Linked DNA regions of Kluyveromyces lactis. The protein of the gene in region 2 purifies or fractionates together with the protein of the main gene of each other region. This does not show direct contact. Links are inferred from orthologs where the notes say so. Each region holds a gene or a part of one and is shown on either strand. Other genes may lie near its edges.

The links.
Region 1: the proteins of TFG2 (region 2) and RPB4 purify together in Saccharomyces cerevisiae (affinity purification with mass spectrometry; 4 studies listed by BioGRID, with this or other methods). This does not show direct contact. The link is inferred for Kluyveromyces lactis from reciprocal best matches to the Saccharomyces cerevisiae genes TFG2 and RPB4.
Region 3: the proteins of TFG2 (region 2) and SPT5 purify together in Saccharomyces cerevisiae (affinity purification with mass spectrometry; 3 studies listed by BioGRID). This does not show direct contact. The link is inferred for Kluyveromyces lactis from reciprocal best matches to the Saccharomyces cerevisiae genes TFG2 and SPT5.

Annotation. Positions count from the first base shown.
Region 1 is NC_006037.1:539,720-542,314, forward strand, and holds RPB4 (DNA-directed RNA polymerase II subunit RPB4), read right to left. Parts: upstream 1,202-2,595; coding exon 599-1,201; downstream 1-598. Other genes in the region: KLLA0_A05775g (glycosyltransferase family 15 protein), read left to right, coding at 1-549; serine/threonine protein kinase YAK1, read left to right, coding at 1,826-2,595. UniProt on the Saccharomyces cerevisiae protein: DNA-dependent RNA polymerase catalyzes the transcription of DNA into RNA using the four ribonucleoside triphosphates as substrates. Component of RNA polymerase II which synthesizes mRNA precursors and many functional non-coding RNAs.
Region 2 is NC_006039.1:1,607,427-1,610,409, reverse strand, and holds TFG2 (transcription factor IIF subunit TFG2), read right to left. Parts: upstream 1,689-2,983; coding exon 522-1,688; downstream 1-521. Other genes in the region: mRNA splicing protein PRP18, read left to right, coding at 1,942-2,400; KLLA0_C18161g (uncharacterized protein), read left to right, coding at 2,442-2,983. UniProt on the Saccharomyces cerevisiae protein: TFIIF is a general transcription initiation factor that binds to RNA polymerase II.
Region 3 is NC_006038.1:68,514-72,867, forward strand, and holds the start of SPT5 (transcription elongation factor SPT5), read right to left. Parts: upstream 2,840-4,354; coding exon 1-2,839. Other genes in the region: RAD33 (Rad33p), read left to right, coding at 3,157-3,687; ERV25 (Erv25p), read right to left, coding at 4,015-4,354. UniProt on the Saccharomyces cerevisiae protein: The SPT4-SPT5 complex mediates both activation and inhibition of transcription elongation, and plays a role in pre-mRNA processing.

The DNA.
Region 1 (2,595 bases), on a different chromosome or scaffold from region 2:
AAGAAGAAATACGGATTTGTGATATCTATCTTTGAATATGAGGATACGGTAACGACATTATGGGATGCTGTTGAGGAATTCATGGATACTTATCCAGAAATTCTACATCCTAACAACAGTCTAAGCTTTTTGACGGATACCACGATGGTGGGACGTTTTTTCCCTGTTGTTGATTCGAATACAGACTATAATCTATGTCATTTCTGGTCCAATTTCGAAATTGGAGATCTAAATTTCTTTAGAAGTGACGAGTATCTTCAGTATTTCAATTACTTGGACTCCAAGGGTGGGTTTTATTATGAACGTTGGGGTGATGCACCCGTGCACAGTATAGGTGCCTCATTACTTCTAGACAAGAATGAAATCCACCACTTTGATGAAATTGGATACAGCCATGTTCCATTTGAAACATGTCCCACGTCCATATCAGCACGATTAGTGCTCCGTTGTATGTGTGATCCTAACGGCGAATCTAATATTCCCATCCACCCAAACAGTTGCTTGATGAGATGGTGGAAAAACGGTGCCGGCAAACTATTTATTAGATGATGGAGCAGAGGTGAAACCGGGGATATATATAAGATATAGTACATAGGTTTTAGTATAAAGTTTCCAAATTCGATAATTCCTTTAGGATTCTTTCTAGATCTTCGTCAGATATCTTGGTTCCTAAACTTGGAATTAGAGTCTTGGCTTCATCTGCATCTTCGCACGATAGAGAACCCAATTGCGCCACTTCGAATGGATGCAACCCTGTGGATGATAAAAGCTGTGATACAGCGGTTACTGTTTCCTGATCACGGAAACGTGAAAAATTCGTTAGGTATATCATGGTCTGCTTCAACGCTTGATTCTGTCCACCAGTGGTCTGTTCAAGCAATCTATCTATATCCTGTAACTCTTTCTCCTGTGTTTGGGTATGCACATTGACGTTATCTTCATCATCCATGTCATCGTCCTTATTTGATGCACCATTGCTTGCCCATGTCTTGAATAATTTCCGACGGTTCTGTAGCGTTTCCTTTATAATCAAACGAGACTCACTCAAATTTAAAGCCACTAGGTTTTCCTCCTGCCCCTGATGGTTGATTTGCTTCAAATTAAACTCTTCTCCCAAGTGTAAAGTGGCAGCATTCTCTTCTTCAACAAACTTCTTCAACCCACGTCTCTTGGTTTGAACAGTGGATGTAGATGTATTCATGGTAAATTCGAGCTGTTATCTATAAGAGCGGTCCAAAAAAGTAGACGAGTGTAATCACAAAAAGTGCTATTCCAGTAATCAGCCACTTTGACAACGGTACAACTTAGATAAATGTAACTCCAGTTGATGTTTCGAGTGACAAAGTTAGTTTACCTCTCGTTTTAATCGTAATTGAATTTCCATTTTTTTTCCTAACGGTAATTATGCGAAAACTCAACATCAGAATATTGGCCCTATGACTTCATGACATGAATGTTCTCTGTATTTAAGGTATTAAAGTGAATCTTGGCAAAGCTGTTTGTTTGTACAGGACACCAGGGCTTATTTTTAGGGCAGCGCTGTATGTACTTGGTACTCATCGTGATTAGGTATAGCCAGATTCGAATTTAGCTGTTTTTTAATATAGGAAGGCGTACATTCTTTAGCTGGTTTTGTTTCTGTTACTGTTTTGCTATAAGTTCTTTAAGCGAAACTCAGGGTTATTCAGTCGATATAACGTTTAAAAGGTATTTCCGTTGAAACTTTGAGTTGTGAATTGGTCATTTCTTTGTTGGAAGAGAGGCTTTTCTAATATTTTGCTGCAATAACGTGGTTAGACGTTGACTATAATCTGATATATAATAAATGGGGGATAAGAATAGCCTTTGGAACCCTGCGTTCATGGCTTCTCAGCAGGGAGCGTCGAGTTCGAATCAGAACCAGAACTTTTCTCAGACGCAGGCAAATACCCAGAATCAGGGCCCAGAGATTGCGCCTGATGGGCCAGCTGGGAGTAGCTCCAATGCAGGCGGGAATATATATGCAGGGCAGCAACAAGGCGGAAATGCGGCTGGTGGTTTCCAAATGCAGTCGCCACGTCAATCGATATTCAAAAACCCATGGCAAGAGATTCCCCAGATACCTGAGTCTCAGAGGTCTACTATGAGGAAGCAATCCAACTTCCCCTTGCCCACTACTTACGAAGAAGATAACGCTGTAGATGAATCCTCACAACAGTTCAGAAGGAGAAACTCATCTTTAGTAATACCACCTGCGCGTGCGGCAGGGCCTGATCCGTTCCTTTATGAGAAGCAACCGTTTCCCAACTATAATGATGCACAAAGAAGGCAGTCGGTTGCTGTCACTGGTGGCAGTCAACTTTCGCCACAGCAGGTAACGAAACCATCTCAGCTTAGGAAACCTGGAATTAATACTGCGGGATATATGGCTGGCTCCATAAATTCTTCTGTGTATCCCGCTACTGCAGGTGCATACATGAGCACGCGTGGCGGCTCAAGTTCACTTCCGTCGTCAAGGCCACCTTCTCCAATAATTATTGTCCCTAAATTCAACAAGATATTTACGAGACAGGACTTGAATCCCGTTATACATTCCACACCGAAATATAGACGTGC
Region 2 (2,983 bases):
CTAAACATCAAAAAAACACTAAATGGACATATACAAAACACCACTATTAACGACAAATGTTAAAATCTAAAACGTTAAAACTGTCGAAAGTTGTTCGAAACTAAACGTTTACTGGCTTGCCAATTGCACAATACTCAATGAGCACAGTCGATGAGATTGGTGAAAAGTTTAGTTGATGGTGTGTGGGTGTCAGGAGGTTGGCTTTTAGAGATTTTTTGGGTTTCTTTGAGTATTATACTACCCAATTGAGAATTTTCTCGTTTTGTATCCGGATGTGTGGGTTTTTATTTTTCAGTGTTTGGAGTGTATGGGTGTTATTTTAACAATGGACAGTCCTTTGTTAATCACGTGATTTGAATTCTTTAATCCTACTATTGGTTCAGGTCACAAGAATACATCACAGGACTAGACATGCCAGCATCATGAATAAGATATCCATTCATTTACTAGATAACCGGTGGGGCATGATTATGTGTATATATATATATATATATATATATATATACTATGTTTGAAGGGTTCTACAACACATCCTCCATTTCCACGTCTTCCAAGTCTTCCTCCTCTTGCTCGTTCTCCTGTTGTTGTTGTTGATCAAATTGGTCTTGAATCTGCTGCTGTTGTTCTGGATCAGCGTGTTGTGCCAATTCACCAAGCGTAGCAGCTCTTTCAGCTTCCTTCAACTTTTTATATTCCGATTTTAAAGTATATTTCAAGGCATACGGACCCTTTTTCACAAGCATAGCAACTTGATCTAGCGATTCCTTTAAATATGCTTCTGGTTGTCTTGTTCTCTCCTTCAAACCTTTCAAGGACCAATAATCGTATTCATCAAACAACTTGAACAATAGATCCAAAAGTTCCTTCTTTGGCAAACGGATAGCCCTTGCGTTGTTCTTCTTTTCCTTTCCAACTTTTAAGAACTTGGAAGTGTCGGATCTCATCGACATACCGGCGTTACTCATAGTGACACCAGGAGTTTGGTCAAGCACCGTAACCGTTGGTTTGTGGATGTTTCTAACGATTTGTCTTCTATGTTCCACAATTGTATGGTAATTTGGATCGTCTATCGAGGGCATCACTTGACATTCGTGGTACACTTTCCCCGTCACTGCAGTTTTCTTCGGAATAGTCTTCACGTACGGGATGTATCTATCTCTACCGTCCCTATCCGTCATGACACGGTGCTGAAACCTTCTCTTGTTGTACTTACGCTTCATCTGCTGCTGTTTTTTCTTCATCTCTTCCTCTCTTTCTTGTTTCCTTATGTATGCCTGTCTTTGCAACTCGGGGTTCGACTCCAATTCCTTGGCAAACTGCTGATATTTCTTCAAATTTTGTTCAGTGAATACGTACTCGTTCGTGACTTCTTTCTTGGTCAACTCTAAGTCATATTTGTGCGGTATGTCCTTGTTGTCCTCATCCTCATTCAACAACAACTGGATCGAATGGTCCGCATTATTAATCCTAACTTTACCCAATTCTTGTCCATGCAATGCAGTACGGTTTCTCCAATTTTCAGCTAAGAACTTAGGCAGACGTACAAGCCAAATCTTCTTCCTGGCGTTGGATAGATCCAAGTCTAACGATTCCTCATAAACCTTTTTCTCATTGTTCTCAATATCGTTACCATCGAACGCCTCTTCACCGACTTCTTCCACCAAATCTTTACCACTGGATTCAGACATGATTAGATTTTTAACTATTGGCTTGGATATATGAGACCTAACAGGTACCTCTATCCGGATTCTCTGCTTGCTTTTGTCTTCCTTCCGCCTTCCTGTTGTGGCTTTAAGTTGTTAAAGTTGTTTCAATTATCAATTCGATAAATCTTTAAAACTGACAAAAACAGCTAGCCATCAACGATAAAATAAACAGAAACTAACCAAGTGGATTGGCACCTCTGCCTACGGTGTATTTACGTTCATCAAAGCAGGCGTCATGAGTCATGCAGTCGAGGAAAGGTACAACAGTCAACAGAAACCGTTGAACGAGAGCTGCAATGAGTATATACACGAGATACTTAAAGAATGGGAAACCCAAGAATCTGAATATACTGTCGTGCCTTTGAAACGGGTTAAGGTGGCATTGTTCCCACTTCTAGTGGCATTAAGGAAACAGGAGCTCGGTCAATTGCAATTATCCCAACTGGCAAGAGTATTAGATGCCATTGTAGATGAAGATTACGTGCGAGCAAAGCAAGAATACCTTACTTTAAGTATAGGTAAAGGGAAGTTTCCGATCGGGTTAACCAACGTTGGTATACACGAGAGGAAACAGCAGTTGCAAGGCAGCAAGGCACAAACACAAGAGAACATGGTTCTTGATGACTGGTGCGTCAACATCAAACGGCTTGTCAATTTCAAGCAATGGACATCTTCACAGCGAAGAACCGCATGATTTTAAATATAGAATTAATTTCAAACCACTCTGATGGCTACATGTTACATAACCTCGGAACTGGAACAGAAACAAAAAAAGGAAGCGGTAAAGGGCAATCAAGCGACGAGAAGATGGGTGGTGTAGTCACTAGTATGGCTGAGTCTAGTGCTCAGGACTATGGTATGGAAAAGTATGATGATTTCATGGGATCAAAGTTTCAACCGGTGAAGGATCCATTCTATTCGGAACTAAGTAATGGGAAAAGGGTTCGAAGGAAGTTGCCTGCATATTGCACGAAACAGGAAACCAAGACATGGAAACGGTTACAGAACCGAGCATGGTACGACGACCGATGCTTCCTCGGGTGTGGATGTATCTGGATTGATTGGGGCATCGGTTGGGCCACGGTACTTTCGTTGCTTCCTGTGATCGGACCGATCTTAATGTACTGGGTACACAGCTCTACGGTGGAATACGCAAGGAAACGGTACAATTTGCCCAACGATCTGTTGGTGAAGATGCATGCAAACATAGTGTTTGATCTATTAATAACGTTACCCCCGATAATTGGCACGTTTTTGACCTGGATGAACGCATGTTC
Region 3 (4,354 bases), on a different chromosome or scaffold from region 2:
AGGCAGAAGCTGCTCCTGATTCTCCGCTTGCTGCCCAAGAAGAGGCGCCTCCATAACTAGATTTATTACCCCAAGTGGACGCACCACCCCAAGTTGATGTAGCACCTTGCCCACCCCAGGTGGAAGTGTTTCCAGCAGCTCCACCCCAGGCAGAAGCACCACCAGGGCCTTGTCCGCCCCATGTCGAAGCACCACCCCAGGATGAAGTTCCTCCGTTCTGGCCAACCGCAGGAGTTTTACCGCCATCAAATGCATTCCAACCAGGAGTCATTCCACCAGGAAGTTGTTGCGGAGTGTTCGTTGCCACCGCACCACCGGCAGCCATGTGTCTTGGTGCACTGACATAGCTTGGGCCCAATCTGGTATGTGGAGTTCTACCACGTCTACTAACAAGTTCATCGTATGTTATACCTTCACCACCTTCATGACTGAAGTAAGTAAGTTTTCTTTTGTCTATTGTAATATGCTTATTTTTGGAGTGCAATTCAATAGTAGCCTTATCTCCATTGACGTCTTTGACAATACCCAACTGCCCCTTGTATCCCGCAGAACGTATCCTAACAGTTTTGTTCAAAGCGACGTCACGGCCAACTAACCGCGTCTGCTGAGTAGTTTGTGGTGGTCCCATCTTAGACGCAATATTTGGATTTATTTTAGATAAATCCAATGCTGACGACATCAAGTTTTCTTTTGAGGCGACAGCCTCGACATTCATTGGATTAACAACGAAAACACCGGCATTTTCCGTTATTGTTTTCGATCTAATGAAAATATGTTGGTTTTGAACGTAGAGTACTTGTCCCTCTCTACGGGAACCGATCTTTTCTCTTACTACATCGCCAATTTTTATTTCTCTACCATTACCATCGACAGCAGCTACTTTCGCTCTTGCTACATTGATCTTGGCAAGAATTGAGCCTTTAGTAACAGTAGCCACTTTACCGGAGTCGTCAATAATCTTGAAAATATCATGTCCAGCCTGGATCACACATGCCACGTTTTTGGCACTTAACTCAACAATGTCATGTAGAGCGTACTCGCTTGATGTCGGAGTAGAATCCATAGATTTACTCAAGTTATTCGCAGAGATTGTCAAATTTTCTCTAGTTTGGTCAGAAACAAATGTGACTTGACCGTTCTGCACCAAAAGAACCAAACCAGCGTTACCTTCATGTTCACCAGCTATTACTGTGACATGGTCACCAAGTTCGAAAATTTTTCTTAGAGATGCAATTGGGAACTCTAATGATTTATCTGAAAAGCCCGATAGTTTAACGCTGATGACGTCTTTAGAACTTCTAGTCACCACACCTCTAGATCCACGTTGTTCCCCGGTCAACACTTCAACACGGTCACCTGGTTGAAACATAGCTTTAGAAGCTTGAGCTTTTTTCATAGTTTGAGCAATAGCTGCTAGATCGACATCACCTTCTTTACTGCCGAACCTTGATAATTCTTCCACCGTAGGTTGGATATTCTTTGTATCAAGATACTGAATCTTAAAAGATTTGAAAAGATAACCGTCAACATAATCTTCCTTCCTGTAAGTGAAGTGCCTGTCATCTCTTTTGAATAAGTTGGCTTGGTCTAACCTTAATGCCATAGTAGGGTTAAATAATTGAGGAGGAGGCCTACTAGCAAACGTTGCTCTCTTTGCCTTTCTCTGATTTGTATCTGGGTCGATTTCGTCATTTTTACCGTAGTCTAATCTGGGTACAATCTTTAATAGAGCTTCTAAGTTGTTCTGACTAATTTGATCAATGACTGCCAAATCATTCTTATAAATACCCCTTTTAATTCTAACATAAGAACCAACATCAAGTCTCACTTCATCTGACTTGGTAGGCTTTAATAGTAAAGGTAGTTCTTGCACGGGAATCAAAAGCTTTTGATTAGAATAGACATCTGGAACACCGTTGACAAATTTTTCGATAACAGATTGTTTTGGAGCTTCGATATAGATTCTTCCTGTGTAATTGTCTCTTTGGAAGATGGACAGAATCTTTAATTTTTTAGAGCCCATAGATTTATCCAAGTTAAACTTCTTATTTAGCAACTTTCTCACTAGTTCTTTCTCCTTCCCTGGTCTACAACGAACGGACCAAATAATAGCAGTATCAACACTTGGTAACATAAACCTCTGAGGTACATACCCACCTTGAGTTTGTACACGGTAATCTTTGGAAGAGTCACGACCATAACGTTTCTTGAAGTCTTCAGCGATCTTGTGCATGTCTTCATCCGCAGTTTTTTGAAGATTTTGATCTAATTCTCTATGCAGTCTGTCATCAACTCTACCACCACGATCCTCTTCGTCTTCTTCGTCACCGCGAGTAATGAAACCTTCACGAACTAGTTCTGAATCTTCTTCATCTTCTTCGTCGTCTTCGTCTTCACTGACTTCGGCTTCAATATCCAAGAATCTGTTTCTTTCACGACGTTGCTTCTTCCTATATGATTCGACATCTTCATCTTCGTCATCGTCATCGTCATTGTCATCGTCGTCATTGTCATCTTCATCATCTTCATCGTCTTTGTTTTCTTGACTGTTTTCTTGATTGTTCCCTTGATTTCCCCTAATTGGACTATCTTCAGTAGCCTCTGTCTTTGGTTTAGAATCAGTAGGAGCGTCCTTTAACTGATCGACAGATGCAGAGTTGTTTTCAGAACTCCCATCAACTTCATCGATAGTTCTTTTCTTGCCTCCAACCACATCTGTAGAATCAGACGAAGATGAAGTAGAGTTATGCTCCTTATCTTGACTCTCAACTGACCCAGAAACTGTTTCAGGTACAGAAACAGCCTCTGCTTTATCGGATTCCTCAGCAGTACCGCTCATGACGTCTTACTGACTGTTGCTTTGTATCGTGAATGCGAACTGTAATGCATACTGATCATCATTACAACTTAGCGTGGACTACCATTTTTGTATTGAAAATTGGGAAGTTTAGATTGAAATTTTTCAAGGATCACAAATAGAGGGTAACTCTCGCCTAAGTATTTCAAAAGTACTTAAGTAGCCGATGAATCAGTCTGCATCACTTCATAACGAACGGGCAGCTAGTACCTTATGTAGTCTTTAATATATAACATCAGCTCTGGCTACGTTAAGGACAATATTAACCGATGAGTCATTGCTGACCAGATAATGTAGTTATGCGGAAAAAGAATGATGTCAGTTATGACACAATTACCAGATGGAATGAGGCCAGAATGCCCACCGAGATTGAAGATGAAGTCCTATCGATATATTTAAGCTTCACCGAAGAAGGTGAATTCAAGTGGGCTGATATTTCTAGTTTTTATACGGAATTACAAATCAGTAAATCATGGTACGGATTATTAGAATTCAAGGACTTATGCTTGGATGGAATTGACGTCATAGATTTCGAAAAACTCTTGGATGTCACTTATCGACTCTTGATCTTCATGGACAACGAGAGTATAATAGATAAACAATGGGAACTACTATTAAAATATACCGGTAGATTGCAACAGTTCCCTAAGGTTGCACTAAGGAAGCACGTGATAAGTGTTAAAGATGTCCAGAAGGCTGCTGTTCAAGTGGATATGGATCAACATATTATCCTGTCAATGGTAAGTTGGGCTACGAACGGCGAGAGGGTATTTGTCACTTACCTAGACTTTGCCAAATTACTTGGTAAAATGGGTTTATTAAGATACTAGCATCATTGCAATCCACTAAATAATTCACTTCCTAAAAAACACGTCAATCTTTGGAACATTTGGAAGAATATCACTAGTAACTTAGTACAAAACTTATAAATGTAACTGGTGGCCATATCAACATAGAATTCTAGCAAAAACAAAGACCTACCCGTCTAGGCATAATATAATCCCTTTCCCCCTCTACTCGTCCGATTTAGAAATTATGCCATTTTCCATATATAGATACTGTACACGTATAAAAGGCTCACCATATGATGTATGTTTCTTCAATTCAATATTTGAAGATCGTATTGAGATTCAAGGCATTGAAACTATTCGAACATTCTAAATAATGTGCTTAGCTCTAAAGAAGTTCTTCATGTAGTTTACTTGCCATGCACCCAAAGCGACCAAAACAACGATGACAGCGATAGAAAAGTTTCTAACTCTTCTGTTGGTGGACTCGTTGGTGTCTCTTAGTCTTTCTTCTCTCCCCTTCAAGTAGTTGAATTCATCAACAATTTCGTCAGTCAATTCTTCAATCCTACGTAGTTCAACTTCCACCGGTTTCAATTTTTCACTGGCTTGAATCTTGTTCCAATCACGAGCCTCGGATCCGGATTCAATATCCAATTCAATGGAACGGCTCAAAGATCTACCGTTAACTTGCGCCACATTCTCGAAA